7 linked regions of the Mus musculus genome follow. The main gene of each other region encodes a partner of the protein of the gene in region 4 in a complex. Links are inferred from orthologs where the notes say so. Each region holds a gene or a part of one and is shown on either strand. Other genes may lie near its edges.

Region 1 (4,175 bases), on a different chromosome or scaffold from region 4:
CTTATACTTCTACATTGCTGTTAACCACTGAAAAAACAGGGCAGGAACCTGGAGGCAGGAGCTGAGGTAGAGGCCATGGAGGGGTGCTGTTAACTGGTTTGCTTCCCATGGTGTGCTAGCCTGCTTGCTTATAAAAGCAGGGACCACCAGTCCAGGCATGGCACCGCCCATAGGCGGGCCCACTTTCACTGGTCACTCACTGAGAAAATACAGCTGGATCTCATGGAGGCTTTTCCTCCCCTGAGGCTCCTTTTTCTCTCACGACTCTAGCTTGTGTCAAGTTGACACACCAGCAATGCAATAAGTATTTAGAATTGTGCAAGTTACACACTATTACCTTATTTAAAAATAAAGTATGAAAACTAAGCTAAATGCCCCTTTCTTTTTTCTTTCTTTTGTTTTTTTAAAGATTTATTTATTTAAATGTAAGTACACTGTAGCTGTCTTCAGACATTCTAGAAAAGGGCATCAGACCTCATTACGGATGGTTGTGAGCCACCATGTAGTTGCTGGGATTTGAACTGAGGACCTTGGGAAGAGCAGTCAGTGCTCTCAACTGCCGAGTCATCTCATCAGCCCTCCTAATGCCCCTTTCATCATGTTTTTTTTTCGAGACAGAGTTTTTCTGTGTAGCCCTGGCTGTCCTTGTCATTCTGTAGACCAAGCTGGCCTCAAACTCAGAAATCCGCCTGCCTCAGTCTCCCAAGTGCTGGGATTAAAGGAATGTGCCACCACTGCCCGGCTCATCAAGTTCTTTTTTAGTTGTAACTATTATCGGTGTTTTCAGGACCACTTTCCAGTGTTCTCTTTATTTTATTTACTGTATCTGCATATATCTTTGTTTAAGGATAAAAAACAACTCCCCCCCCAAAAAACCTCCCGATTTAATATCTTTAGAAAGTAAGAATGAGCCTGGGGGGAGATATACTGAGACATTTGTTGAAGAAAAACAGAGCGAACAATCATTTACTAAAGTCTACTATAGACTGGTTCATTTTTTACTAAGCTATTAACTTACACTTTAGAATTTAAGAAACGTCACATAAAACCAAACAAAATACCTACTTTATGTGAAACCCTGAGCGTTTCATCAAGAGTTTGGTATTTCAGGTCTGAAGATTCTTTGGGATGTTGGGATTCAATGCGGTACTTAGGAGGATATCTCCGGAATTCAGAGAAGGCACCAAATGTTTCAAAGAATAGCTACCAGCCAGCAGCACAGGCTTCAAACCAAAGCGGCGGCTCGCGGAGAGTACGCCTGCGCAAAACGCGCACAGACAGGGAGAGGGCGGAGCTTCGGGCCTGCCAGTGCGCCTGCGCACAGCACGCCGCGGAGTGGGGGAGGGAGCCCCGTGTGTGTCTGTGTTGTTGTTCCGCGGCGGCGGCGGCGGCGGTAAGATGGCTGCCCACGGGGGCTCCGCGGCGTCGTCGGCGCTGAAGGGGTTAATCCAGCAGTTCACCGCCATCACCGGTAAGAGACGCGGTTACGGGAAGGTGAAGAGTCGGCTACGGGGAGGCTGTCGGGGCTGTCCCGGGCTTCGCCTCACCTTGGTGCATTCCTCACTCGGGCTCTCCCCTCAGCTCCTGCCCTCTCCTGAGGCACAGGCGACGACGGCGGCGGCGGCCGGGGTCTGCGGTTCAGGCGGGAGGCAGGTTTCCCCCGCCCCCACCCCGCGCGTGCCCCTCAGTCCCTGGATTCGGTCTCCCCTTATTCCCAGACAGGCCCCCCACGCCCCCAGCCGGTCCAGTACAGGGGATGGGCCGAGCCCGCGGTGCCAGGGGCCCGGGACCTGCGGGCCGGAGGAGTAGGGGGCCGCACCCGGGCCACCGCCCTCTTCCTCCCTCATCACCTCCTCTCGGTATCGTGCTGCCCGCGGACCAGGCGGTGCAGTCCGTTCCCCCCATGCCATCCTCTCTTCCCGGCCAGGTCATCGTCCCTGTCCCTCGGCCCCGGCCTACCCTTCCCCTCGCTGGGCCCCCCCGGAGCCTTGGCGGTGGCCCTGCCGTGTGAGGGCCGTCTCGCTTTAACGGTGAGGCGGGTGGGTTCTGCTGCGCCTTCACACATCCCGGGGGACTTGCCGCCGGGAACAAGGGGTGCGGAGGGGCACCTTAGGGACCGAGGGTTTCACATAGGAATAGGGGGGGGGGGAACCCTGAGCTTAGTGTGTGTGTGAGGCCTAAAGTAATCCTGGGTGGCCTTTCCCACCTCCTCATAATAAAACCAAACATCGAGACGATGGCGCCCGAGTCTTTGCTGATAAAATGGGGATGGCGGCAGAAACTTCTTGCAGAGAAATCTGTTTCTAGGTGTCAGTATCCGTGAAACCTTAGGCCTAGGTTTCTCTTTCCCTTCGGACCCCGACGAAGGGCAAACGCAGGTTCTCTTACCCGCCGGGAGGAAAGACTTTAAGCCATTCTGTGAATGCGCTATGTCTTGTTTCTCTCCGATGGTGCTGAACTTTTTTTGCATGAGTTATTAGAGGGCGGAGCAAATGATGAAGTTCTCTGTGGAGTGATTTGAGAGAACAGTACTCCATGTGCCTGAGTGTGATTTTGCTGTTCTAGTTTGTCATTTTGAAAAGAGGTCAGAAAGTTAGTTCCCCCTCTCAACAGGACTATCCTTTCTTTGATAATAATTTGTTTGATGCGGAGAATATTTCTAGTTTGTGTTCTTTTTTTCTAGTTTGTGTTCTTGAGTCTGACGTGTAAGATCTTTATTTTAACCAATACATGCTATTTGCAGTTTTATAATTGAAGCTAGTTTTATTTTTTGTTCGGCAACGATAATTAAGTGGCTGATGCGTTGTTTTCTGTCTTGTCACATGAAATATGTCAAAGCTGGTAAAACAAGATTTGTAATAAAATTGAGGTGAAAAGTAAGATAACTGAAATGTTGTTAAGCTTTGTGGTGGGGTTATTTTATTTATAATAACATGTGGATTTCCCAGTGCCTTACCAAACCAACATTATGGAAAGAAACTAGATTTCTGTGTATACAAGTTAATACTGCTACATTGCTTGCCTAAAAAAAAAAAAAAAATCTAGTGAGTCACACAGAGAAATATTAATCTTTCTTTGGATTTTATAAATATAGTTTAAGGTCTTACTATTTAACCTTAGGATTTTTGGGCAAGTTACTATTACTTTATTTTCATCTGTGAATTGGAAACTCAATTGTTTTAATCTCACATTATTTCTTCTTCTTCTTCTTTTTTTTTTTTTTCTTTTCTTTTCTTTTTTCTTTTTTGGTTTTTTTGAGACAGGGTTTCTCTGTATAGCCCTGGCTGTCCTGGAACTCACTTTGAAATCCAGGCTGGCCTCAAACTCAGAAATCTGCCTGCCTCTGCCTCCCGAGTGCTGGGATTAAGGCGTGCCACCATGCCCAGCTCTCACATTATTTCTTATGCAACATTTTCAAAATATATACTCAGGACCCAAAATGCCTTGAAATAAATTTAATACTAATTTGTTTGCCAGTTTAGTCTATACATCTTGTTTTTGGCCTAGTCCTCTGTGTTGCTGGATCAGATTGAAGTTCCCTGTAGGTAATGATTTCTGCAAATGTACAGAAGAAAAAAAATCCTTCAGAGTGATGTTTTGTGGTGTCTAGTTACATATATACAAAATTTACACATATAGTCATAATAATTCAAGAGGTAAAAAGATAGAGCAGGTAAAAAAATGAAAGGCAAACACTATTGTGTTTATAAAACGATAAGGGATGTTTGGTGGAGGTGTCGTCAGGTGTGGGGAAGGGGGTGCCTCCGTGGACCCAGGTTGAGGCATCCCTTCACCCTGGGGGACAAGCCAGTATAGTATAGAATAGAGTTTATTCAGGGCATGGGGAGGGGAGTTGAGAGGGTAGTAGAGACAGAGAGAGGGAGAGGGAGGGGGAGAGAGAGGAGGAGGAGAAGAGTAGTAGAGAGGGCAGCCATGAGCACATGGAGAAGGTGGGGGCGGGGGGCAAGGAGAACGAGAAGAGGTAGATCAGAGGACAGAGGGAGAGCAAGAAGGCAAGAGGGCAGAGGGTCAGAGGGGCGAGCAGCCCCTTTTATAGTGAGTCAAGCATACCTGGCCCTTGTAGGATGGATCTTAGACAAAATGCTAAGCACCACAGTGGCACATACTTGTAATTTCAGTACTTGTTCATGGCTGCCCTCCATTGTATAATGAGT
Region 2 (4,290 bases), on a different chromosome or scaffold from region 4:
TTTTAAAATTATAATTTCAAAAGTTGAGTAACATTTTCCCATATTAATGAAAAACATGGAATATATTATATTTACTTAATAATTAAGCCTATTTATATATTATAACATATAGCACATATTATCTGAAGGAGTCACATAGTTGTTTTTGTCATTAGACAAAAGTAGTCCTTCCAGCAGACAGAATTTCAGGACTACAGATGCAGCTTCAAAAGGAGCCAGTTTTTCATAGGTTGCATCTGTGCCCATAAAAGGGTATGGGTGCCACTTGAGGGGAGAATTAACATCGTATAAAAGACAGACAAGACAGGCATTCATTTCCAACTTTAAAAACAAACAACAAGGGGGCTGGAGAGATGGCTCAGCGGTTACGAGCACCGACTGCTCTTCCAGAGGTTCTGAGTTCAATTCCCAGCAACCACGTGGTGGCTCACAACCATCCGTAATGGTGTGTCTGAAGAGAGCACTGGTGTACTCATATACATAAAATTTTTAAAAATCTTTAAAACAAACAAACACAAACAACAACAACGCTCAGGAAATCGCTACTTATGTAAAATAAAAATATATAGGAAAATACACAAGTAAGGTCCACCACCTCCATTCTATCATGCAAGCTTTAAATACCCTGCTGAGAAACTCCCAAAGGGTCTCGTGTTTAGCAGCCTTGAAAACTGTCTCAGAAGACAAGCTTGTCATCACTGGCCCCTGGCACCTCGCAGTGCAACAGTAAGGACTGTGAGAACAGCCAGCAAACCTGGCCTAGCAAGGTCAGAGACAGTGGGAGGAGGGCTGTGGAAACGTCTCCCTGGGTTCTAATCAAGAGAATGTTTCCCCCACATCACATTGCCTAAAATACCGCAGCGACCGCATCCAGCTCCCCCAGAGGGTAACTGCTACCAAGACAGACCTATTACGATACTCACCTCAAAATACTTCTTCTCAATTTCTGGATTTTTCCCCATTGTACGTTGTTCGTAACAACATATAATACAAGTTTCAGATCCACTGAGATCTTTTAATGTTTTCAGCAGTGGTTCCAAGGACTATTTAAAAAAAAAATACCATTTTCAGTTTATTACGTCAAGAGTTTCCTGTGATAGGAAAGGGTCAGGAGGTGAGTCAAACCATTCTAAACCAACAAAACAAAGCAAGGTTATCAAACAAGACTGGTAAACAACCCCTGACTACCAATAATTATACTGGTTTCTAGTTAAGTTGTACCATCACATCTTGCTAGACTTAAGTCTTACAAGTCTAATTTCACTTCATCTAAGTTAATGTGGTATTTAAACAATCAACTATTTATTCTACCAAAGCAAGCCTGACCCTAATGGTTTAAATTTAATTTTTGTTATTTTAATTATATGCACGTATTTGCCTGTGTCTAAGTATGTGCTAGTGCCTGCAGGGCCAGAAGAATTGATCTTCCTGGAGCTGGAGTTACAGGTGGCTGTGAACTGCCTGATGTGGGTACTGGGAACTGAACTTGGATCCTCTGGAAGAACTGTGTGTGCTCTTAACTGCTGACCCTTTTGATCATCAGTTGGCTCAAGGCATCAACTTAAAACTAAATACTGTCCAATACTGCATAAACTGATATGGGAAGAAAATCATTCCACAAGTCTAATAAAATGTTGTCACTGAGAATAACTAATTTTGGAGCGTCTCACTCTGTGCTGGCCTAGCATTCATGGCAATTGTGAGTGCTAGGATTCTAGGAGTGAGCCAACCTGCATTTTAATTAATTTCCAAAGTCACAGTTAGCAGTCAATGGGAAAAGAAAAACAAATGAACAAACAGACAAACAAACAGAAGGTATCTTAGTTTTCTAGAATATATGCAAATCGGAAAATCCTTTTAAATTTTTCCAAAAAGTCTCCAGTAGAATGCACGCAAGTTTTCTCAACCACCTCGCACAGGCAGGCCTGTATGCCTATCCTGAATTGTGCGAATGTGTTGCCTTTGATAGTTTAACTTCTCTTTACTGCCTCATCATCTATAGAACAAATATCCCACACCTGGAGGTGTTAAACCACGGAGAGCTGTGGGCTTTCGGACACACCAGTTCGACCACTACTCACCTCCTCATAGTATATACAGTCTGCCATCAATATGTAGTCTGGTGACATCAAGTCTTCTATGTCTTCACCCCTTAAAAATGTCAAACGTATGTCTTTAACTGATGCTCTGACGATTTAAAGTGTTCATTTTAGAAACGAGAAGCAGAAGGCTCCCCTCATATTAAGCAAGCGTTGTGTAAAATGCAATTTAAAGCCCATGTAAGCGATCGATTATCTTAAAAACAAGCTGAAAGGCCATACAAACCATTTCAGTACCTTGGCTTGAACAGAACCAGTCACAAGATGCTTGTTCATATCAATATTCATTTTCAGCAAGTCCTGCAGCTCTTCAAGATCAGTGACTATAACATCTGCCCTAAAAAAACAACCTCGTTGAGGTACAGGCGCAAGGCTGCACGCCGGTGACCTGATGCTGGGCGACCAGCGCCTTCCCGCCAGCTCTTACCCGAGGGTCGCAGCCATGAGCCCCACGGCCCCCGTGCCGGAGCCCAGCTCCAGCACCGAGCGCCGACTCAGCGCGTGGGCCCCGTCGCCAGAAAACCCCGGCGTCTCCAGGTATTTGGAAAGGACGATGGCGGCGTCCCACACAACGCAACCCACGCCCCCGGAGCCGTACTGCTGCAGCCGAAGCACTGTCCCATCCCGCTTCTCCAGAACCCGCACAAAGCTCCACAGCGGGTCCTCCACCTCCGGCTCCACGGCGGCCGCCATCCCTGCCCCGGCCCGCCGCAGGCTGCGGCACGCGGTAACGTCACGCCCACGCAGCACCCGTACCTCCCAGCGGCAGGGCGGCTGCCCAAGGCGCATGCGTGACTCTCAAAGTCCGCAGGAAGCAGCAGAACCTACCCAGGAGTGGCCCAGCTGCTGCTACAATGATAGGCACTTTAAGAAGCAAAGCGACCGACAGTGCTTATACATAGCTGGAGAACGGCTCACACAGAGCCGCTGGCGATAGATCTAGGCAGCTACCCAGGTCCTATCTAAAAATGGTTATATTCAAGAAGTTTTCCTACTGTGCTTCCTTTTCATATGAATGCATAAACGTGGTGGCTGGGAACGTGCTACTTGCTTTTAATGGTAAAGAAAAGTTAGTCCTTTTACATCCCACGGGGCCAAAAGATGGCCAGCAAGACCAAGGACTCACATAGTAGAAGGAGAGACCTGCAGGTTGGCCTGTCACATTGGATCTCTAGTATGAACACACACACACACACACACACACACACACACACACACACACGTAATAAACAGATGATAGCTATTCGTTCTTCTAGATTTTTTTCAGCTTTGTTGTTTTTTGTTTTTTTGTTTTCAGGATGGCCTCCTGTATCCCAAGTAGGTTCAAACTCTTCATACTCTTCACGTAGTCGAGTCGCCTTTAAGTCCAGATGCTTCCGTCTAACCTCCCAAGTTCTGCGATTACAGGTGCTCACCACTATTCCCAGCTTCTCCTTGCTCTTTGTGATGAAAAACAATATTGCAAATCTTTTACAAATTAAGACTGAGGTGATTTATTAATCTTGTTAAGAACTCTGATACAAAGCACAGTAAAAGGCCACAGACCAGTAGATAAACAACGTGGCTTTTGGCTACTTTACAATGGCTGCTACTGCACTATCAGCATAACATACATACCTTGATCACTTTGAATGATAGTATCCAAATGGCAAAGCTTTATCCTGATTAAAAAATTTAATAAAGCTTTTTAAAGTATTTTCTGTTTAAATATTACTAATCTGGAAAAACTTTTCAAAAATTTCAGTTAACACGAGATTAAAGACAGTTAATAGGTTTGACAATGGCAGTTGGTTCTTATGCCATAAGACACTTTTGTTCCAGACTTACAAATTAGTCAAATAGCAGATTGTATTATAGGCCTCAAGTCACTTACATTTATAGAGGTTATTAGCATTATCTTTAAATATATACAATATAAATAAACTGTACATATATGGCATATTAATTTTGTCTTCCCAAATAATAGGCAAATCATTAGCTAAACAATGATTAGCTAAACACCATACACTGCAAAACAAAAGGCACATCTTAATGAACACATGCCCTTCTTCTATAATCAGGTTATGTAGAACTGTTTATAATTTTAACAAAATAATAAACACAGTGCATTCTATTATTTCATTCTATTTTCCGTTTTTGTCTTCAGCAGCAAATACTGACATTTAAGACATGGTCTCAAAGAGTTTAAGAA
Region 3 (3,636 bases), on a different chromosome or scaffold from region 4:
TTGCTCAGCTCCTTTCTTATAGAACCCAGGATCACCAGTGTAGGGGTGACACACCCAATGAGCTGGGTTCTCTGCCATCAATCACTAATTAGGAAGATGTCCTAAAGGCTTGGGTACAGCTAGGTCTCATGGAGACATTTTTTTATTTGCGGCTCTTTTCTCTCAAATGACTATACCTTATGGCAAGTTGACATGAAAATAGCCAACACACTTTCTTCAAACAAGCTGTGTATTGTAGCAGGCATTGGTTAATGGAGAAATCAGTTACTGTCCAAAGGGCTGAGCGTAAGTGACGGGGTAATGTTCTGCCCCAACTTGGACAACTGTAATACCTGCATTAGTTATGTCTCTGTTGCTGTGATAGAACACCGTGACTGGGGCAACTGACATAAGAAAACATTAAATTGGGTCTACGGTTGCAGTGGGTTAGAGTCCATGATGACAGAATGAAGCCAGTGTGGGAGGAACAGATGAGAGCTCACAAAAGCAAGGCAGAGAGCATACTGAAAATGGCTTGATTCCTTTGAAGCCTAAAAGCTAGCCCTCTGTGACACACCTCCAGCAAGGCCACACCTCCCAACCCTAACCAAACAGTTCTACCACGTTGGGACTAAGTATTCAAACGTGAGCCTATGGGAGCCACTCAAACCACTGCAACACCATCAGAGGCTCAGGGAACGCCTCAGAAAAGGGAAGAGCAAAGAAGGTAAAAGCTGAGGGTGGGGAGGGAGATGTGCAGAGAAAGGATGCCTTCTGGATGTGAGAGCCAATGCCCTCATGAACTCACTACAGCCTTGGTTATATACACAAGGCTTGATTGGACTGATCAACCATTCCTCATGGGTGAAAGAGGGACCAACGAGGCCACACCCCTCTGCAAAGGATTATCAGCAGTCAAAGCTTATTGGGGGGAGGGGTATCTCTTTCTAAAGTGGTGTAGCCACAAAGTGGCCCTTGATCCATTCAATAGCTTTGTCCCACGCCCCAGCTCTAAATTCACAAGAAGAAAACATGAAAGTACAAGTGAAGGGCACTTGTGTGGAAGGTGCCAGTGGGAGAGGAAGGAGTAAGCTGGTAAAAATGACTAAAATCCATTATTTAATATATAAAAGAATAAAAAACAGGAAGAAGTGCATTTTGGGGGTCCAGAGTATATTTGAGCTTTGTGAGAATTGTCTTTTGCAGGTTTGATTTCAACATAGCTGATAGTGAAATGAGAATACTAGCACTTTACCATCATTTCCTTTGCCCCTAGGACTTCTAGCAAGCCTGGGATATCACTAGTTATTCCAATTTAGTATGAGGATCCTGAGAACCAGCAGCATTAAGTGATGGGCTATTCATAGCACTCCTAAGAAGACACTTTGTAAAATTAATGTTCTTTAAATTTTTAAGTTTTGTAATTAAAATATAATTCCATCATTTTCTATAAAGCTTTTGCATTGTCTAGTATGCTCAGTTACTGCTACCTGGAGTTGGGAGCTGAGAAATTGCCACAGGAAAATACATGTTAGTAAATGAGCACTTTCTGGAACATCTTTCAAATCCCTTGTCTACTTTTCCAGTATCTGTACCTTACTCCCCCCCCCCCCCCACCTTCTGGTTCTTTTATTCAAACACTTGATCCTTTTTATGGCCCTGTTAGACTGTCCCTATCTCCCCCACCCCAACTCCTCACTACCTGCTTCTTGTGAACAGGAACCAATCCCTGTCCAAAATCAACCCCTATATTAGTAATTGCTGCCTACCAAACCACTCCAGAACCACCCTCACTTTGGTTCAAATTAGGAAGGGCCCATGGGACTCCTGTTTACATCTGTGTCACCTTAGACTTCGTTGAGTCTGAGGATTAGCTGACGGTGGCTGGGACCAGGGATCATGAGAGGACCAGAGCCTGTGCAAACTAGCCCAGACTCGAGCCCATACTGGAAGCCTGCAGTGCATCTTGGGGCTAGGTTTAGGCTTTTTGTATTATCTGCCCTCTGCTCTGTCATCCCAAGCGTGTCACAATGCCAGCCCCAGTGGAGAGGGTGGAGAGGAGGACCACTGCCTCATGGAGCTCTTCCTTGTCACTAACTCAAATGAACTCTGTCAGACAGTAGTCCCGTCACCACCTTCTGCACAGTTGTGTATCCCTGCTCTTGCGTTCCTTCTCTGTGCTTACAACACCCTGAGCCAGTGGGTGTTTTACTTCCTGGTGACAAGTGAGCATAAAAAACAAGGACTACATTTTTTTTCAATGTAGGATTTGGCACATACGTAAGTTTTTATAAGCCATGACTAAGAATTTGGGGGCATGGACACCTGTTAGTATGAAGATTGGATTAGACCATAACATGCTCAGAAATCTTAAAACCTAGTTTTTGGCATTTTGAGAGTTTCTGCTGAAAATATTAGAAGAGATAAGGAGACTTGGCAGGGATTTGATAAAAAAATATTTGTCTACTCTCCTTGTAAATTTACTATCAGAGTCCGACTTATCATTTTCATCCTTTTTATGTGTATACGATGTGTGTTTAGGGTTGTATGATATGTGTACATGCATATGATGAGTGTGTATGACAGCATCTGTGAGTGCTAGCACACGTGTGCCATGCCATGCATGTAAATTAACGGTCAGAGGGCAACCTCAGATGTTGGTCCCTTTGGTTGAGGCAGGGTCTCTCACTGTTTTTCCTGCTGTCTACAGCAGGCTAGTTGGGACTCTGCTGTCTCTGTCCCTGCCCTCATCACGGGAGCCCTGGTTCACAGATGCAGGCAGCCATGCCCGCTCTGTATATATTTTGGATAATTGGATTTAGCTTTTCATGTTTACACAGCAAGCTTTACACCCTGAGCCTTCTCCCTTGTCTTGTTTTTTCCCATTATTATTACTATTGTTGTTACTGTGTATGTATAATGTGTAGATTGTGGATATGCATGTCACGGTGCATCTGTAAAGGTCAGACGACAACTTTGTGGAGTTGGGTCCCCCCACCTTTGTGGGTCCTTAGCTTACCAGGCTGACCCCCCCCCCCTTTTTTAAATTAGTTTCTTTTACTGAGAAAGACGCATTACAAGTTCATGACTATTATGGTCAAGGAAAGCATACCTGTCCTTAAGTTCACTTGAATCTGGGATAAAATTTCTATTTTAGAATGTGAAATGGAAAGAGAAGTTAGTAATATCCCTGTTGGACTCAGGCATGCGAGGCCACGCCAGCCTGTGCCCATCTTCTAGCGCGGGTCTGAGCAGTCGGGCTGTTCTCAGGTGATGAGTTTTGCATGCCCTGTGTGTTTCAGGTGCAGTTCTCCGTGTACCTCCCTGGGTTCCTAATCCTCTAGCACAGATCCTTATCCACGCTCCTGATATCCTGCAGTCATGCAGAGGAGAACGAGAGGGATCAACACCGGCCTCCTCCTGCTCCTCTCTCAAGTGTTCCAAATTGGGATCAACAACATTCCGCCTGTTACCCTCGCAACCTTGGCTGTCAACGTCTGGTTCTTCCTGAATCCTTGGAAGCCCCTGTACCATTCCTGCATCAGCGTGGAAAAGTGTTACCAGCAGAAAGACTGGCAGCGTTTACTGCTCTCTCCCCTGCACCACGGAGATGACTGGCATTTGTATTTCAACATGGTGTCCATGCTCTGGAAAGGT
Region 4 (3,636 bases):
GTTTTGAGATAGGGTTTCCTTGTATAGTCCTGGCTATCCCAGAACTCACTCTGTAGACCAGGCTGCTCTTGAAACTCACAGATATCACTTGCTTCTGCCTCCCAAGTGCTGGGATTAAAGGCATATGCCACCATGCCCATCTAAAAGGTTTATTTTTATCTGAGACTAGTTGGGGAATATGGGCTGAGCTATCATTGTCTTTAGAATGATACTCAGGTATTAGGGTTCCATTGGGCCTTTTACCAAATCATTTTTGTCATATCCGCAGTTGGAACTGTGCTGTCAAAAGCATGTGGAGTCTCTTGTCTTCTCTTTGGTCTGGCCTGGTAGTTCTTACATGATAATGGGGGTTTGGGGTGGGGGGAGGCTATTAAAGACAGAAATTACTGCATTCTTATTCAGGACCTGTATTTGGGCTAGGGGAAAAAATATAAGTTTCTTTAGGGATTGGGGGAGGACAGATTTTTGTCATTGTTTTAAAAAAATAACTTCTATTTATTGTGTGCTTGAGTTGGAGAGATGACTCAGCGTTTAAGAGCACTGACTGCTCTTCCAGAGATCCTGAGTTCAAGTCCCAGCAACCACATGGTGGCTCATAACCATCAGTAATATGATCCGACGCCCTCTTCCCGTGTGTCTGAAGACAGCTACAGAGTACTCATAAATAAAATAAATCTTTAAAAAAATTTGTATTGTGTACTCATGCACATGTGAAAGTCAGAGGACAACTTGGAGGAATTAGTTCCTTGTTTCTTCTATGTTGGGTCCAGGATTAAACGTAGGTCATCAGGCTTGGAAACAAGTACCTTGACCTGATTAAGCCATCTTACTCCCCCTCATTGTCTATTCTGTATCTCTTCAGGTCCTGAAATCATGAGCAAATTGGCTGGTGAGTCTGAGAGCAACCTTCGTAAAGCCTTTGAGGAAGCTGAAAAGAATGCTCCTGCTATCATCTTCATCGATGAGCTTGATGCCATTGCACCCAAAAGAGAGAAAGTACGAACTTACCCAAGGGCATGGTGAGGACTTGAAAGGTCCTGACCTAGCTTCTGACCAGACATACTGTCTTCACAGACTCATGGGGAAGTGGAGCGTCGCATCGTGTCTCAGTTGTTGACCCTCATGGATGGCCTAAAGCAGAGAGCACATGTGATAGTTATGGCAGCAACCAATAGACCCAACAGCATTGACCCAGCCCTACGGCGATTTGGTAAATACCTTAAAATCTTTCCAACTTTTTTTTTTTTTTTGGTTTTTCAAGACAGGGTTTCTCTGTGTAGCCCTGGCTGTCCTGAAACTATAAACACCAGGCTGACCTCAACATCAAGAGATTCACCTGCCTCTACCTCCTGAGTGCTTGGGAATAAAGGTGTATACCACCACTGTGCAACCCAACCTGTTCTTTCTTGTTGGTACATTATAGTTCTGCTGGGCTTGATTTGCTTATCTCACCTCTGTCTTTCATCTAGGTTACTTAATCTTCACTTCTCTGCCATGATAGGACCTAAGGTCTTTTTTTTTCTCCATTCTATGTTCCCTATAGGGCACTCCCTCAACTTTCCTAGTGCTATAACCCTTTAATATAGTTCCTCATTTTGTTTTGTTATTACTACCTCACAGCTGTAATTTTACTACCATTATGATTCGTGATGTAAAATATCTGTCATGTGGGGTATTTGATATATGACCCCCTTTGAAATGGTTGTTCCACCCCAAAGGGTTTGAGATCCAGAGAAGTAACCACATATATTGTTTTGCCCAAGCCTGAAAGATTTCCAGGTTGTGAGGCATTAATGCTTACTCTTAAGAGAGTTCTGGAATGACTTTTGTGGACCAGAAACTATCCCTATTTTACATTCCCGTATTGTCCTATAGGTCGCTTTGACAGAGAGGTAGATATTGGAATACCTGATGCTACAGGACGTTTGGAGATTCTTCAGATCCATACCAAGAACATGAAACTGGCAGATGATGTGGACTTGGAACAGGTAGAGTGGTGATAATGGCTGACCAGAATTTAGGATAGCTCTGTTTTAGGAGGTTGCAAATTACAAACATAGCCTAAGAAAGAGGCTTCATACCAGAAATACAAACTTGGGGAGCGTGGGCAGAAGAGCCTGAGTTTAAGGCCTGCTGGGCTACACAGCAAGATCCAATCTTTTCATTTTTTTTTTTAGAGCTGGATGGAGATTGCTTTGATTTCAGGGCAGGAATATGTTTCTTAGTTGTTGCTGTGTTAGAGTAAGTATGAGTTGTTGGAGCAGCTTTATTTCCAGCTCCCTAATCCGGCTTGAATATTTAACACCTCTGACAGTAAAAAGGTCTGCTATAGTATATCTCTTCAAGACAATAGGAATCTGAGATATGTACGAAGCATGGGATGGAGTCAGGACTCTGGATAAGGCAGCTGGATCTTGAGGATGGTCAATCTATCTTCTCTTTGCAGGTAGCCAATGAGACTCATGGTCATGTTGGTGCTGATTTGGCAGCCCTATGTTCAGAGGCTGCTCTGCAGGCCATCCGGAAAAAAATGGACCTCATTGACCTAGAAGATGAGACCATTGATGCTGAGGTCATGAATTCCCTGGCAGTTACTATGGATGACTTCCGGGTAAGGACCATGTATATTATCCCAAATTAGGAATATGTATGTGTATTTTGTTGTGTTCTTCACTCCCCCAAGTCTCATCCCCACTTTTCAAATTCCCTTTTTAGTGGGCTTTGAGTCAAAGCAACCCATCAGCACTTCGGGAAACTGTGGTAGAGGTGCCACAAGTAACCTGGGAAGATATTGGAGGCCTGGAGGATGTCAAACGTGAGCTTCAGGAGTTGGTTCAGGTAGGCTAATTTGTTCTAGTATGGTGGGCCATTGCCTCAGCATGTAATAATCAACCTTTTAGGTCTCAGACTTATTTACTAAGAACTGTGTGTATATCTCTGTTAGGTAGTGAGGAGCTGTCTTACTTAGGTTATTACTTCTGCAATGAAACACCATGGCGAAAAAGCATGTTAGAGAAGAAAGGGTTCCACATTGCTGTTTGTCATAGGAGGAAATTGGAACAGGAACTCAAAACAGGGCAGGAGCTGATGCAAAGGCCATGGAGGGGTGCTATTAAGAACCCAGAACCAACAGCCCATCCACAATGGGTGGGGCCTTCCCCCGATCAAAAGCTAATTAAGAAAATGCCTTATAGCCAGATTTTATGGAAGTATTTTCTCAAGATTTCCTTTTTTCAGATAACTCAAGTTGTGTGTCAAGTTGATATAAGACTAGCTAGCATGGGGGGGAAAAAAGCCGGGTGTGGTGGCGCAGGCCTTTAATCCCAGCACTTGGGAGGCAGAGGCAGGCGAATTTCTGAGTTTGAGGTCAGCCTGGTCTACAAAGTGAGTTCCAGGACAGCCAGGGCTATAAAAAACAAAAAAAGAAAGACTAGCTAGCATGGAAGCCTATATGTAAAAATTTTGGATGTTAGAAGACATACCATAAAAATGCTATGCTTCTGATTAATGCGATTTTATTTAAAATATGAGGGTTGCTCTTAAATCATTTTTGCTTTTCTTGTAGTATCCTGTGGAACATCCAGACAAATTCCTCAAATTTGGCATGACTCCCTCCAAAGGCGTTCTTTTCTATGG
Region 5 (4,372 bases), on a different chromosome or scaffold from region 4:
GCATGGTGGCGCACGCCTTTAATCCCAGCACTCGGGAGGCAGAGGCAGGTGGATTTCTGAGTTCGAGGCCAGCCTGGTCTACAAAATGAGTTCCAGGACAGCCAGGGCTATCCAGAGAAACCCTGTCTCTCAAAACAACAACAACAACAACAAAAAGGTTTGTTGGGGCTGGTGAGATGGCTCAACGGTTAAGAGCACTGACTGCTCTTCCAAAGGTCCTGAGTTCAAATCCCAGCAACCACATGGTGGCTCACAATCATCCCTAACAAAAATCTGATGCCCTCTTCTGGAGTGTCTGAAGACAGCTACAGTGTACATACATATAATAAATAAATAAATAAATAAATAAATAAATAAATAAATAAACAAATCTTAAAAAAAATTATTTGTATGTGAGTACACTGTTGCTCCCTTCAGACAAACCAGAAGAGGGCACTGCATCCCATTATAGATGATTGGGAGTCATCATGTGGTTGCTGGGAATTGAACTCAGGACCTCTAGAAGATCTTATCCGCTGAGCCATCTCTCCAGCCCACATCCTGGCTGCCTTCTTTAAGGTGCTCCACTCCTCTCTTCACTGTAGCTCTTGGAAACCTGTCTTCCACAGTTCTCATCAAATGCCTCCATTGCTCTCCTCCAGCCATGGGGCTTGTTTCCTTGAAATCACCAGGGTGTCCCATCCTTCAGCTTTGTGCATTTTTGGATCTAATGGTTGGCAAAACTAATAAAATTATTAACAGCCTGGGTAGCCCACAAAGCTGCTTTATCTCTGACAAATTTCACACCAACACAGACGAAAGCTTGCCCATAGGCACTTCAGTTACATGATCCAAAGACCACAATGCCATGCGCATTAGGGTAGAATTACATGCACACAGACAGGGGGTGCAGAAGAGCTCCTGGAATCTCAAGTTTGTGTCCAATGACCCACTTCCCCCCTTCTTTCTAATGAGTGACCATTAACAGTGAAGTATATGATTTTGGGGGTCTCTTGCACAGTCACAGTGATTCTGATCTAGATGATGGCTGTTTTTCACATGAACAGTAGTGTTCTAAAAAGCCTGAGTCCAGAGCATCCAACTTTTTGTTGTGTGTACACACCACACGAGATGGAAGTGTTGGAGGAGATTAAACTCAGCTTTGCACATGTTGAGCAAGCCCTGTACCAACTGCGGTCTCTGCTTTGACCTTGCCTGTACCAATCTCTCTGTCGGCTCCTTCTAGCTTGTCTCTCCCAGAGCAGATTTCAGGCTCATGCACAGTACATTCATACTCATTTTCTCTGTAGTATGGACTGGCCTTGAACTCCTGACATCCACCCTGGTTCCAGTAGCTCTGGGTACTCTTCTAGGCTGCTCGCTGTTTGGATGCTCTCTTTAAGCTCCCCTGGTGGCTGCTGCGGTCTTAAGGGAGGCGAGCCTGTCGCCCCGGCAACGGCGTCCGCAGACAGGAAGATGGCGCCCCGCCCGCGCGAGGTGCTGCAAGGCGATTGTCACGTGAACCAGGCGGGACTTCCGTCGCCGCGATATTTTCTTTCCGGTGGTTGGCCGCCTGCTCCTCATCCACCCGGGCCCTGCGCCCTCCGCCCTGCGGCCCAAGCCGCCGGGCCGCTGCCGCCATGAAGAAGTTCTTCCAGGAAATCAAGGCTGACATCAAGTTCAAGAGCGCGGGGCCCGGCCAGAAGCTTACGGATTCCGCAGGGTATGTGACGCTGGTTGGGCGACGGAGAGGGCGAGGGCCAGGGGGCAAAAAGGGCCGGCGGTTGGGTGTCAGGGTCTTTCTAGGCTATGCTTAGCAGGAGTAGATTGGTGGGTGGGGTGTGGAAGATTGTAAGGCAGGGGCGGAGCCTACAATGAGGGCGGGGCGTTGTAGCAGTGGTGGGCGGGGCAGAAGGGAGGGCAGTTGTGTGGTGTAGCACGGGTGGGCGGGGCGCTAAGGGTAGGCGTGGGCGGTCGTGGCCAGGGCGCGTTGGTCACTGCTTAGAGACTCTTGGTTCTGGGTGGTGAGAAGGGACGGGGCAATGCCCAGAATTTAGCTAAGAGAAGAGCCGCCTAAAGGTGTGGCCTTGGCGAAATGTGGGTAGGAAGGACCTAAGAGAAGGTGTGGGAAGAAGGTCTGTGAGAGATGTTAAGACTTCTTTGTAGGTTGTGTGGTAATCTGGGAGGGGTTGGGGAGTGAGAGAGGATTATAGAAGGATCTTGGAGGAGTGTGGAAACCAGAGAGGCCCAGACCCAGAATGTTGTTGAGTGGTTGGGGTGACAGGTGAAGATGGGATCTCTGTGGGGGCCTTGGCAACTCCGGGTCTTCCAGGAGTACTTTCCTGGAGTTCTTTCCGGAGAACTTTGTGTTCTGGAGAGGGAGGTAAGGCATGTTGGAGCTGCTCAGAAGGGGTGAAGTAGAGATTGGAGACAGCTACAGGCTACCAGGGAGTAGTCTGCAGGAAGTATATGTGGAGGAAAATGACAACCAGCGACTGGGGCTGAATGTGAGGAGAAGGAGGGGCCTGCAAGCCAGGGCTAGAAGGGAGGTAAACACACCAGGGTACAGCTACAAATAGTGGGGCAGTTTCAATGATGAGAGGAACATGGAGGTTCAAAGGATCCTCAGGCCAGAAGTTGGAGGGGATGGTCCAGTGTCCGTGATCTGTGTGTGATCTATAAAAGTAAATGTCACTTTTATTTCCTCAGATGAAGTGATGAGAGCTGCAACCATGCTCTGTGAACACAACACACTGCTTGGGCTGAGCTCAGAGCATTATCCATGTTCTAACAACTATCCCAGGAAGCTTCTAGCATCTGTACAATCTAATTAACCAAGCTGACTAATTCAATTTGGCTTCTCTCAATTTCTCACTGAAGTGCTCTGCTTGGACTCAAACTAAGTCTGGCAGTCTCTTCTAATCTTCTGGTTCCTTCTCATTCTCTCGCTGCAACCTGCCTCTGAACTGCACTGGCAGGCTGAACTGCTTTCAACTCTCTCTCTCTGTGCTGCCTTTTGAGTCCTCTCTTTCCTGACTGTTCTCAGAGTTGGGTGTAATCTATCCCTGACTCATTCTGTCAAATTTTTCTGATTCGTCACTGTCTGCCACTCAATTAGATGCCACTTTCAAACATGACTTCTTCCTTCTACAAACTAACCTTACCTACATTGTTAGGGATTAAAGATACATACTATGGACCTGTCTGCATTCCAGCAAGAGAGATTAAAGATTTGTTGCATGTCTGCATTCCTCCCACATGTTGCTTGATTAAAATTCCTCTATACACCGTTTTGCAAAATTGGGTCCCTATGTCTGTTCAGGGAGAAGACCACCAAAGGAAAGTCACCACAGCTGGCCCTCCGGCAGCCCCGTCAGGGCCCCACTGATGAGGCACAGATGGCTGCCGCTGCTGCCCTGGCCCGGCTGGAACAGAAACAGCCCCGAGCCCGGGGCCCTACATCTCAGGACTCCATCCGGAACCAGGGTGAGTTCTGCTCTAGGTGGCATCTGGGGCAGACTGAATCCAATGGGAAAGGGTCCCCAGAGGGTAGCTCTGAGTCCCATGTGGCAGAGACACCATTAGTTCTTGCTTGGATGGAGACTTGGAGAAGCAGGGACTAGATTCTACCTCCTGGACATTGGGAGGGAGAGTTGCTAGCTCTCAGACCAGCCCCCTCCCCACCCCCCAACTCCCACCTTTGCACCCAGAGGCTCAGCCTCTGGGTTCAGGATGGGTCCTTACTCTGTCCATATCACCCCTTCCTACTCTCAGTGAGGAAGGAACTTCAGGCCGAAGCCACCTCCAGCAACAATCCAGGAGCTCCTGGGACCAACTCGGTAAGGTTATCTGCTGGGGACTGCCCAGTGTTCTCGGGCAGTATGGAGGCAGCTGAAGCCTGGGGAGGGAGAGCTTCATGCATATGAGCAGTACCTGTGGCAGTGGGGAGGAGACAGACCCTTGGAAAGGAGGAGTGACAGCGTGGGCCTATATGTCCAGCTATAAGAGCCTCCTGTCTTCTGTCTTCAGGTACCTGAGCCCAAGGAGGAAATCTCTCCCCATTTGGCAGTGCCTGGTGTGTTCTTCATCTGTCCGCTCACAGGTGTCACCCTGAGGAGGGACCAGCGGGATGCCCACATCAAGCAGGCCATCCTGTCGGTGAGTGACCCGTGTTCCAGCTACTGGACACATGCCCATCAACCCTAGTGTCTTAGTCACTATTCTACTATTCTATTACAGTGAAGAGACACCATGGTCAAGGCAGTTCTTACAAAAGAAAGTATTTAATTGGGGATAGCTTAGTTTCAGAGGTTTAGTTTGTTATGGCAGAGAGCTTGGCAGCAGGCAGGCAGGTATGGTGCTCAACTGGAGTAGCTAAATGCCACATATCCTG
Region 6 (4,091 bases), about 37 Mb from region 4:
TATCAAGACAGCAATGCAAGGTTTGGTAACTTGTACTGCTAGTTTCTAGTTTAATTATCATTTGCCTCGCTCAAGTACATCATTACATACTCAGCAATATGAGTGGAGCACTGTTGAGTTAACTGAACTGGGGAGAGGGACCATTATCCTTTGCCTTCTGAGTCTCAAGCTGAAAATAAAACTGAACTAAATAAATTTTCAGGAGAAAAGGACACACATTTTATTTTTTTTAAAACAATCATGTGATTAGCGTCTTCGTGGGAAACCTGAAAGCCTGTGTGGCTGTATCTACATACCAGGGGCAACCAAGAAAAGTAGCTAAGATGTGGATTTAATTCTAAAAGGTCTGTTGCAGACCTCTCAGTTTCATCTTCTCTACCTCATAAGTTTTTGTTTTTGTTTATTTTTTTTAAGTGCTCGAAACTCAAAGAACAGCCAAGGCAGCAGGCTGTAGGCTCCCACCTAGCATGGTACACACAACAGGCACCAAGAGAGTATTCTCCATTCACATACAGTCCGCGAGTAATAAATACTCTTTGCAAAGTAAAGTGTACTCTGTTACCTGCTTATATCTTTCTTTCCCTTCCTAGCTTATAAATTTCATAAAGGCTTCTTTTTTTTTTCTTGGGAGGCAATTCTTGGAGGTGTAAGTGTCTGGGACTTAAGATGAGAGTTAAGTCAATCCCAGCAGAAAAGAAGATGGCTTAAGAGTCTCCATTCTCATTGCCAAAAGCTTTACCGTGTTTCCTATCCTCAATACGGATCCACTCAGAAGGACTAATTTACCATCCAATCCTGGATAAGGGAAAATGACAGATAAGGGGAAATGAAAGGTGGAGTTGTTCATCTGCTAAGATATTGCATTGTTGAGTTAAATGAACTTGGAAGACAACGCTGCGCTCTAAAGGCAACCTACAGCATCTCCCAGCGAGTCGAATGGTGACTATAGAGAGATCTCAAAAACTGAAAAACTGGCGAGCCCTGCGGACCGGAACCCTACAGCGAGTGCGCACCGGCTGGTGGGGGGAAAAGGAGCCCGGAGGAACACCACGAACCCGGCACGGCTCCGCCCCCTCTCCAAGGCAGTGGGAGTCACGGAGTGGCTCCGCCCCTTCCACAGTCGCTAAGCAACCAACCCCGGAAGTCGCGGTCCGGGGCAGGCGCCGCAAGCGGGTGAAAGATGGCGGAGGGTGGCCGTGCGGAGCCGGAGGAGCAGGAGCGTGGGTCCTCCAGGCCACGGCCCCCAAGTGCGCGGGACTTACAGGTGCGCAGGCATGGAGCGCGGCGGCGGCGGGCGAGAGGGCGTGGGCATGGCGGGCGCGGGCCAGAGCCACTTTGTACCTCACCTGAGCCTGTCTCCGGAGAACTGGAGGGTCTCTCCTGGAGGCGCATTGCGGAGGGGTGCGTGTGGAATCCTGTGCCCTAGCCTCAGGCGGCGGTACAGGGGTTCCCTTCACGCTGGATGCACAAAGCAAATGTCATTTTGCCGAGCCATCTGGGTGCCTCCCAGCTGATGCTGCCTGCATTTGGGGAGTTGCTGTGGCCAGTGATAAATCAGCCATCACTAAAAAAGTAACTTTAAAAATGACGCGTGCTGGTTTGTTCTCCTGGATGCTTTTTCACGTTTGATGATTTATACATTAAAAGCACTTTCTTCTCCAAAAGCCTGCGGTTTTGCAGGGGAGAGCTTAAAACAGTTCAGGCTTTGGTCACAGCTCGCTTGAAAGAGTTCACAAAACAGCTTAACAGAAATAAAACTCAGCAATGTTAGGATGCTGGCATTAGCTAAACACTTGTCCGATGCTAATACTGCTTGTCCATTTTAGCCTTTTTTTTCTATCTCCTCATGAAATCATTGATAAAACTCAAACGATTAAACATATATTAGGGGTTATAGTTCAGAATAAATGAGCCTGGATTCGCAAACCTTGACAGAGCATTTTTATAGCAGGTCTTCATTCTGTAACCAGACGTACTGACCGTTTGCCATTCTAACTTTGTGCTGAAGCTCTGGGAAATGTGGATACAAATAGGACATCAAATCCAGAAGTAGTAGTGGATACTGTTGTGTGCTATCAAATTTTGTGAAAGGTCTCAGATTTGAAACAGGCTTGTAAAGCAGCTTTACAGACCAAGCCAATGCAGAATTCTAATGGTATTAATTGAGCACTGGTTGGTTCCGGTGACCCCGGAGCCAGTTAGCTCGTTATCTTAGAGTAATTGTCACTGTGATGAAACACCATGACCAAAGCAGCTTGGGGAGGAAAGACTCATGCTTCCACTCACAGTTCCTTATCAGACAGGACGTCAGAGCAGGAACATGGAGGCAGGAGCCGATGCAGAGGCTATGAAGGGTGCTACGTACTGGTTTGCTCCCCAAGGTTTCTTCAGCCTGCTTTCTTATAGGACCCTGGGCTCACAGCCCCGGTTTGGCACCACCCATAGTGTGTGTGGCCCTCCACCATCCATCACTAATTAAGAAAATGCTCCAAAGACTTGCCTACAGCCTTATGAAGGCATTTTTTTTTCATCGAGCCCCCCTTTCCCTGATATCTCTGGCTTTGTCAAGTTGACATAAAACTAAACAGCACACTAGTGAGGCAGTGTATTTTCTGTGTCTGGCTTGCTAGTTTTCATAAAGTCACATCTTATTGTCACTTGGAGTTTTCCCAACATGCTCTGGGTCTAGAAGCTGCCTCATTCAGGAATTCTATTTTGTTTTATGAATAATCTAGGTTTAATTGTCCTGAACAGTCTCTATTTTAACCACATATAACCTTTTGGACACCTTCATAACTGTTTGGAGAACTAAGCATAGTTTGAAGCATCACTGAATGCCAAAAAAAAAACAAAAAACAAAAAACAAAAAAACAAAATAAAACAAAGCAAAAAACAAAACAAAACAAAACAAAACAAAACAAAGGCAGTTCAGAAGATGAACTTGGAGAATGCAGAGATCAGCATCAGGTAGGAGATAAAAACCAGTGAATTAATGACCAGCTGAACAGAAATCTATCTCAGCTGCCATTCAGAATAGTCTGTCAGCCTCTACATCAGGAAGGAGGGTTTTAGGAAGAGGGCTATATAGTTATCTCCTGAAGTGTCTCTCTGTTGTGACTTCTGGACTGTTTCTAAGGCTGTTGTGTAGTGTCCTCCAGGCAATTCGTCATAGGGTTTAAAGTTGTTTAAGGTATTTAATTGCATATTTCCCAATGTTCCTCCAGAATAATATCAACAGGATTGCTGCTCTTAATTCCGTGTTTCCATCCAGATTAGCATTTGGGGAGGAGTAAACTTGTCTGAGGCTATCTAGATCACTGGTTCTCAGTGAAATAATGTCCCTGGAAAGGCTTGATAAAGCAGACACTAGCGCTCATACCCATATCTAATAGGTACAGAGTGGGACTTGAGCATTATGTATTTCCCAGATTCCCAGGTGTGGCTAGTCTGTACAGTTAACTTTACTGTGTTTTCTACAATGTAGCATAAGGCTGAGCCTTCTAGTTCTCTCTTGCTGTGTTTCTGCCCTTCACAGTGACTTAGATTCAGGTTACCTTCCAGACTGGAAAGAATATCAGTCCTTGACTTGGGAAGAATTGGAGCAAGAATGTCTCTTACTTAGGAAGCGCTGGTTTTGTCATTATACTTTTATCTGGTACTTGAATTAATCTTCTTTATTTAATTTCAAATAATATAATCTCAGGAGTGCTCAGTCTCTGTGTCTAATAATCTACACTTTAAAGAGTATCTCTAGCTGCATATGTAGCAGAAGATGGCCTACTTGGCCATCATTGGGAAGAGAGGCCCCTTGGTCTAGCAAACTTTATATGCCCCAGTACAGAGGAATGCCAGGGCCAAGAAGTGGGAGTGAGTGGGTAGGGGAGCAGGGCGGGGGTGGGGGGCGTATAGGGGACTTTTGGGATAACATTTGAAATGTAAATGAAGAAAATAATAAAAAATAAAAATAAAGATTTAATAATCATGAGTGGGCCCATGTCATAATCTGTGACTGGTGCCAACTCCTTCTGAAGAACTTGTTCAAGTCTCGGGAAATAATGCTTGGACCACGTTCTTAGTGTTCCTTTTCTACT
Region 7 (3,636 bases), on a different chromosome or scaffold from region 4:
TCACATTTAGTCTACACAGGGCTAAGCTCTGAGGCTTTCATTTCTGTCCACGGAGAGTGGGCTTGGCAGCTCTGTATCTGCCGTCTTCCATTCTAGCAGCCCCGCATCGTTAGCAGCCCTCTTCTGTTTGTTGTGCTCTTGCAGTTCTTGGGGGCTTTGTGCCAAGAGTGTATTTTCCCTTCCTTGTGCCAACTCTTGCTCATTTTGACAGTCTTCCCCTGATTGATCCAGCCGTGCTTTTCGTGCTTGGCACATGATAGTATGCCACAAGACACATAGCTTTTAAGTCAAAGGTCAGCATTATTCTGTTTTCCACTGTCTAGGGGCCATCACTTTATTGTTTAATAATGTTTTGAGATAGAAGCCAGTGAGTGGTAAGGGTGAAAGGGGAGAAAGCAGAGACTTTTTTGTTTGATTGTTTTTTTGTTTTTTGATAGACTTGTGTGTTTGGCGAGGTCAAGAGGTTCAATTTTCAAATGTTACTTGCTTTGGTGGTTGATTATGACAGGAAAAAGAGAAAACTGCAGAAAGCCATGAAAGATAGGCAAGAGTATGCTAGTGTCACAGGGATAAGAAAAGAGAGATGTTGGATCTGATTTTCTTTAGAATAGTATCAAGACTAGCCAGGAAAAGGATTTGGAAAGAAAGGAGAGGACGATCATTACATTTTCTTAGATACGAAAATATATTTATTAAACCAGGAATTAAAATAACTTAGTATAGGCATTCATTGTAAATTATCTAATCTAAAAGTAGGCTTTAAAACTGAACATGTTTCTATCCATGAAAAAAAATCTTAGCGACTTTGCAAGCATGATAGTGATGGGTGCATTTCCTATGTTAAACTTTTGTGTTGAATACACAGCAAAAGTTCTATAAAATCAGTGTATTTTGGAATAAATATACTATAAAGTAGATATTGCTGTATAAAATACAGCAAAAGTACTCTAAAAGCATGAGTCTAATGACAGAACAGAAAGTAACAAGAAAATTTCCATAATACACACAGAGATGCAGATCTATCAGGGTAGTGGATGTGCCTTTAAAATGTGTCTTTAAAATGAAGAAAGATGCTCAGCTTTCTCAAAGCAAACAAAGATTAGTTTTCAGGTTAGTGGCTGTAAATATCCTTTGTGGAGAATATGTGTAGAAAGATAGCAATCGTCTACATTTTAGGAGGAAGTATAAATTAATTAAACATTTCTGTAGACATTTGGCAATATCTACCAAAATAAGTGCATATGTCTGTTGATCTAACAGATTGATTCCCAGGCATTTATTCCATGTGTGTGTGTCTGTGTGCATGTGTGTGTGTGTGTACAGAATATACAAGAATATTCATCATGGCATCATAACAATTTAAATGAAGTTTGTCTACCCACATATCCACATAAAGAAAGTCTGTGAAGCAAATAGAAGTATTTTGTCAAGGGAATGAAGACATAAAACTGCGATTTAAAGCATGGTGAGGAGGGAGGAAATGGCAGAGCGTTCACAGAAACGGGCTGTGCGTGCTCGCACGCCTTTGAATTCTAGCACTGAGGAGGCTGAGGCCAGCAGGCCGACTGAATGTTCCAGGAAAGCCTGGCCTTTGACGCTCTAAAAACTAAGGCAAGGCGTGGTGTCGTGTACCTTAAATTCCAGCATTTGGGAAACAGAGCCAGGGAGATTTCTGAGTTCAGGGCCAGCCTGGTCTACATACTTCAGGACAGCCAGGCCTATGTAGAGTGATCTTTCTTGAAAAAACAAAAACACCCAAAAGCTTGGCCATTTGGAGCAGGCAACTCTTGTAATCCCAGCAAGTCTTGATCCTGAGGCAGGAGGATTGAAAATGTAAGAACAATCTGTGCTGCATAAGTTTAAGGCCTCCTGTGCAATGCAGTGAGTCCCTCCTCTCTCAAAATGTGAAAAGAGAGTTTGGACCAATCTCAGTGGTAGAGTGCCTAGTCCACCTGGGTTCAGTTCACAGGGTTGCCCCCAAAGGAAAGCAGTTAGTTGTTGTTGAAAATAACATTTGGAGATTGGAGTTAGGACTTCCCCTCTTCATGTTTGTGTGTGTGTGTTGCGTTGTTTCCTTTTGAGCCCATATGCCTAGTTAGCACTTTGTTTTGATTCCTGTTAGCCTCTAGCATTTGAGAATGCTACTTTTAATGAGGATTATCTTTTAGCCCCGTCTTAGGCAAGGCCATATATTTGCATAGTATTGTTTTTGCTAACTTGTTTAAAAATATTAACAGATGATTTTGATGCCCCATTATCTCATTGGCCTGTGAACTAATGATGTGTAGGCAGCGGGAACTACGCTGTCTCCTCATACTGTGATGTCACTTTAGCTCGCCTTGAAAGAATGCTTTGCATAGTGTGATTTTGTTTGGTTTAAATAAGAAAAGTGTTCATCCCAGGTCAGAGGAACTGACAGCTGTTTGTTTTGATCTCTTCAGATATGGAGGCCGTTCACTGCCACCTTTTACTTCCCCGTGGGCCCAGGGACTGGATTTCTGTATTTGGTCAATTTATATTTCTTATATCAGTATTCTACTCGGCTTGAAGCAGGTAAGTTACCTGTCATTGTCAAAGTGTTGTTTCATTCTAAGTTACTGATTCATTCTAAATATGTTGCCTTGGATTTTCAGGACCATTAATATTATATAAAGAAATGTGTATTGATAGTTCTTGCATGCTCACTGGGTCATGACTGTATTAGGCTAGTAGAGTATTTTTGTTTTGTGTTTTTGTGTTTGTTTTTTTTTTTTTGGAGACAAAGTCTCATCTATCCCTGGCTATAACCAGTTGACCTCCAACTCAGAGATCCACCTGCCTCTACTTCCTGAGTCCTGGGATTAAAGGTATGCACTACCATGCCCAGCCATATTGAGTTTTTAATCACAGAATGAGTTGTAATTTGTTATAAAAAGAAATAATATCAGATCAAAATTTTGCATGTCCTTCCATCTCCTGATTGTCTGGGTTGTGTTCTTATACTTACTCTTGTCTTTGTCCTGCTAGAATGAAGCCAGGCTAGAATGTACGTGTCTTTCAGACAGAGTGCGAGGCAGTTCAGAGCTTAGTCTCCTTCTCAGGGGCTGGAGAGGATGGTACAGTGAAGAAAATGCATTTGTGAGGACCGGTCCAGAACCCTTCAGCCACGCAGATAAGCTGGGTGTGGCACTTGTGCGCCTGCAGTCCAGTGCCTGGAGACCAAGACCCCTGAGGATCCTGGGGGGCTCTCTCTACCTAGAGGAGTCAGCTGTTGGGGTCCATTTTCAGTCAGAGGCCTTGCTCAAAAAATAAGGTGATGAACAATAGAGGAAGATTCTGATGGTGACCTCTGACCTTCACACATGCAGCATGGGCACCTGCACATGCACACATGCATATACTACACATGTAGTATACATATGCTACGTGTTTACATGTAGACAACAGCTTTAAGGCAGGATTTGTACTGCGGTAGTTTTTCCAAATATACCATCTTGTATGATATAATAGAGAAGCAATCCAGTGCTTTACAAGTGTCTTGTTGAATTAAGTATTTCCACAATACCTTATATGCTAGCTTGAGTTGCTTATACAAGGAAGCAGTAAATTGATACCCTAGTCAAAATACAGATCCACTTTTGTTAAATGTAAGTGATT

Evidence for each region.
Region 1: the proteins of Vcp (region 4) and Ubxn7 are in contact, whole or in part, in a crystal structure (PDB 5X4L), measured with the Homo sapiens proteins. The link is inferred for Mus musculus from reciprocal best matches to the Homo sapiens genes VCP and UBXN7. Residues at the interface, in NP_009057.1 of Homo sapiens: Val38, Leu51, Phe52, Arg53, Gly54, Asp55, Ile70, Leu72, Pro106, Val108, Tyr110, Leu140, Glu141, Ala142, Tyr143, Pro178; in NP_056377.1 of Homo sapiens: Arg418, Tyr419, Pro420, Asp421, Gly422, Arg424, Leu455, Asn457, Phe458, Arg460, Lys462, Gln480, Glu481, Thr482, Phe484, Val485, Gln486, Asn489.
Region 2: the proteins of Vcp (region 4) and Vcpkmt are in contact, whole or in part, in a crystal structure (PDB 7OAT), measured with the Homo sapiens proteins. The link is inferred for Mus musculus from reciprocal best matches to the Homo sapiens genes VCP and VCPKMT. Residues at the interface, in NP_009057.1 of Homo sapiens: Arg239, Gly280, Glu283, Ser284, Arg287, Lys312, Arg313, Glu314, Lys315, Thr316, His317, Gly318, Glu319, Val320, Glu321, Arg322, Arg323, Ser326, Gln327, Leu329, Thr330, Asp333, Pro355, Ala356, Arg359, Phe360, Arg362; in NP_078834.2 of Homo sapiens: Arg14, Ser15, Phe16, Val17, Arg18, Gln32, Tyr33, Ser34, Ser35, Gly36, Gly37, Val38, Val41, Trp43, Asp44, Ile47, Val48, Leu97, Asp144, Tyr147, Tyr148, Glu174, Arg176, Thr177, Met178, Gly179, Lys180, Asn181, Glu209, Tyr210.
Region 3: the proteins of Vcp (region 4) and Rhbdd1 are in contact, whole or in part, in a crystal structure (PDB 5EPP), measured with the Homo sapiens proteins. The link is inferred for Mus musculus from reciprocal best matches to the Homo sapiens genes VCP and RHBDD1. Residues at the interface, in NP_009057.1 of Homo sapiens: Asn33, Asp35, Val38, Phe52, Arg53, Gly54, Asp55, Thr56, Ile70, Leu72, Tyr110, Pro137, Tyr138, Phe139, Leu140, Glu141, Ala142, Tyr143, Arg144, Pro145, Ile175; in NP_001161080.1 of Homo sapiens: Ser300, Glu303, Met304, Arg305, Gln307, Arg308, Leu309, Arg311, Phe312, Asp313.
Region 5: the proteins of Vcp (region 4) and Ubxn6 are in contact, whole or in part, in a cryo-EM structure (PDB 8FCO), measured with the Homo sapiens proteins. The link is inferred for Mus musculus from reciprocal best matches to the Homo sapiens genes VCP and UBXN6. Residues at the interface, in NP_009057.1 of Homo sapiens: Pro23, Arg25, Ile27, Gln43, Asp47, Gln50, Leu51, Phe52, Arg53, Gly54, Asp55, Leu58, Lys60, Gly61, Lys62, Arg64, Leu72, Glu80, Lys81, Gly97, Val99, Ile100, Ser101, Gln103, Pro104, Cys105, Pro106, Asp107, Val108, Lys109; in NP_079517.1 of Homo sapiens: Pro279, Ser280, Pro281, Ala283, Ser284, Phe286, Glu287, Leu288, Phe292, Phe293, Asn294, Leu295, Glu299, Ile300, Arg302, Glu303, Gln304, Leu306, Arg307, Ser308, Val311, Leu314, Ser315, Val316, Leu317, Arg318, Thr319, Lys320, Ala321, Met322.
Region 6: the proteins of Vcp (region 4) and Ubxn2b are in contact, whole or in part, in a cryo-EM structure (PDB 8B5R), measured with the Homo sapiens proteins. The link is inferred for Mus musculus from reciprocal best matches to the Homo sapiens genes VCP and UBXN2B. Residues at the interface, in NP_009057.1 of Homo sapiens: Arg113, His115, Glu132, Leu140, Ile182, His183, Cys184, Glu185, Glu187; in NP_001071087.1 of Homo sapiens: Phe215, Ser216, Gly217, Glu218, Gln220, Leu222, Gly223, Leu225.
Region 7: the proteins of Vcp (region 4) and Derl1 are in contact, whole or in part, in a cryo-EM structure (PDB 7Y59), measured with the Homo sapiens proteins. The link is inferred for Mus musculus from reciprocal best matches to the Homo sapiens genes VCP and DERL1. Residues at the interface, in NP_009057.1 of Homo sapiens: Arg113, Ile114, His115, Phe131, Leu135, Lys136, Phe139, Leu140, Val166, Glu167, Thr168, Asp169, Val176, Ala177, Pro178, Asp179, Thr180, Val181, Ile182, His183, Cys184, Glu185; in NP_077271.1 of Homo sapiens: His240, Trp242, Gly243, Gln244, Gly245, Phe246, Arg247, Leu248, Gly249, Asp250.

What each region holds. Positions count from the first base shown.
Region 1 is NC_000082.6:32,330,890-32,335,064, forward strand, and holds the start of Ubxn7 (UBX domain-containing protein 7), read left to right. Parts: upstream 1-1,362; 5' UTR 1,363-1,398; coding exon 1,399-1,471; intron 1,472-4,175. UniProt on the Homo sapiens protein: Ubiquitin-binding adapter that links a subset of NEDD8-associated cullin ring ligases (CRLs) to the segregase VCP/p97, to regulate turnover of their ubiquitination substrates.
Region 2 is NC_000078.6:69,580,195-69,584,484, forward strand, and holds the start of Vcpkmt (protein-lysine methyltransferase METTL21D), read right to left. Parts: upstream 2,824-4,290; 5' UTR 2,793-2,823; coding exon 2,527-2,792; intron 2,437-2,526; coding exon 2,326-2,436; intron 2,152-2,325; coding exon 2,082-2,151; intron 1,044-2,081; coding exon 924-1,043; intron 1-923. UniProt on the Homo sapiens protein: Protein N-lysine methyltransferase that specifically trimethylates 'Lys-315' of VCP/p97; this modification may decrease VCP ATPase activity.
Region 3 is NC_000067.6:82,337,038-82,340,673, forward strand, and holds part of Rhbdd1 (rhomboid-related protein 4), read left to right. Parts: intron 1-2,008; exon of another isoform or gene 2,009-2,259; intron 2,260-3,281; 5' UTR 3,282-3,360; coding exon 3,361-3,636. UniProt on the Homo sapiens protein: Intramembrane-cleaving serine protease that cleaves single transmembrane or multi-pass membrane proteins in the hydrophobic plane of the membrane, luminal loops and juxtamembrane regions.
Region 4 is NC_000070.6:42,983,506-42,987,141, reverse strand, and holds part of Vcp (transitional endoplasmic reticulum ATPase), read left to right. Parts: intron 1-862; coding exon 863-996; intron 997-1,074; coding exon 1,075-1,210; intron 1,211-1,875; coding exon 1,876-1,988; intron 1,989-2,446; coding exon 2,447-2,611; intron 2,612-2,715; coding exon 2,716-2,838; intron 2,839-3,565; coding exon 3,566-3,636. UniProt on the Homo sapiens protein: Necessary for the fragmentation of Golgi stacks during mitosis and for their reassembly after mitosis. Involved in the formation of the transitional endoplasmic reticulum (tER).
Region 5 is NC_000083.6:56,072,166-56,076,537, reverse strand, and holds the start of Ubxn6 (UBX domain-containing protein 6), read left to right. Parts: upstream 1-1,511; 5' UTR 1,512-1,619; coding exon 1,620-1,702; intron 1,703-1,971; exon of another isoform or gene 1,972-2,114; intron 2,115-3,301; coding exon 3,302-3,465; intron 3,466-3,753; coding exon 3,754-3,818; intron 3,819-4,008; coding exon 4,009-4,137; intron 4,138-4,372. UniProt on the Homo sapiens protein: May negatively regulate the ATPase activity of VCP, an ATP-driven segregase that associates with different cofactors to control a wide variety of cellular processes.
Region 6 is NC_000070.6:6,189,950-6,194,040, forward strand, and holds the start of Ubxn2b (UBX domain-containing protein 2B), read left to right. Parts: upstream 1-1,155; 5' UTR 1,156-1,180; coding exon 1,181-1,264; intron 1,265-4,091. UniProt on the Homo sapiens protein: Adapter protein required for Golgi and endoplasmic reticulum biogenesis. Involved in Golgi and endoplasmic reticulum maintenance during interphase and in their reassembly at the end of mitosis.
Region 7 is NC_000081.6:57,882,352-57,885,987, reverse strand, and holds part of Derl1 (derlin-1), read left to right. Parts: intron 1-2,441; coding exon 2,442-2,553; intron 2,554-3,636. UniProt on the Homo sapiens protein: Functional component of endoplasmic reticulum-associated degradation (ERAD) for misfolded lumenal proteins. Forms homotetramers which encircle a large channel traversing the endoplasmic reticulum (ER) membrane.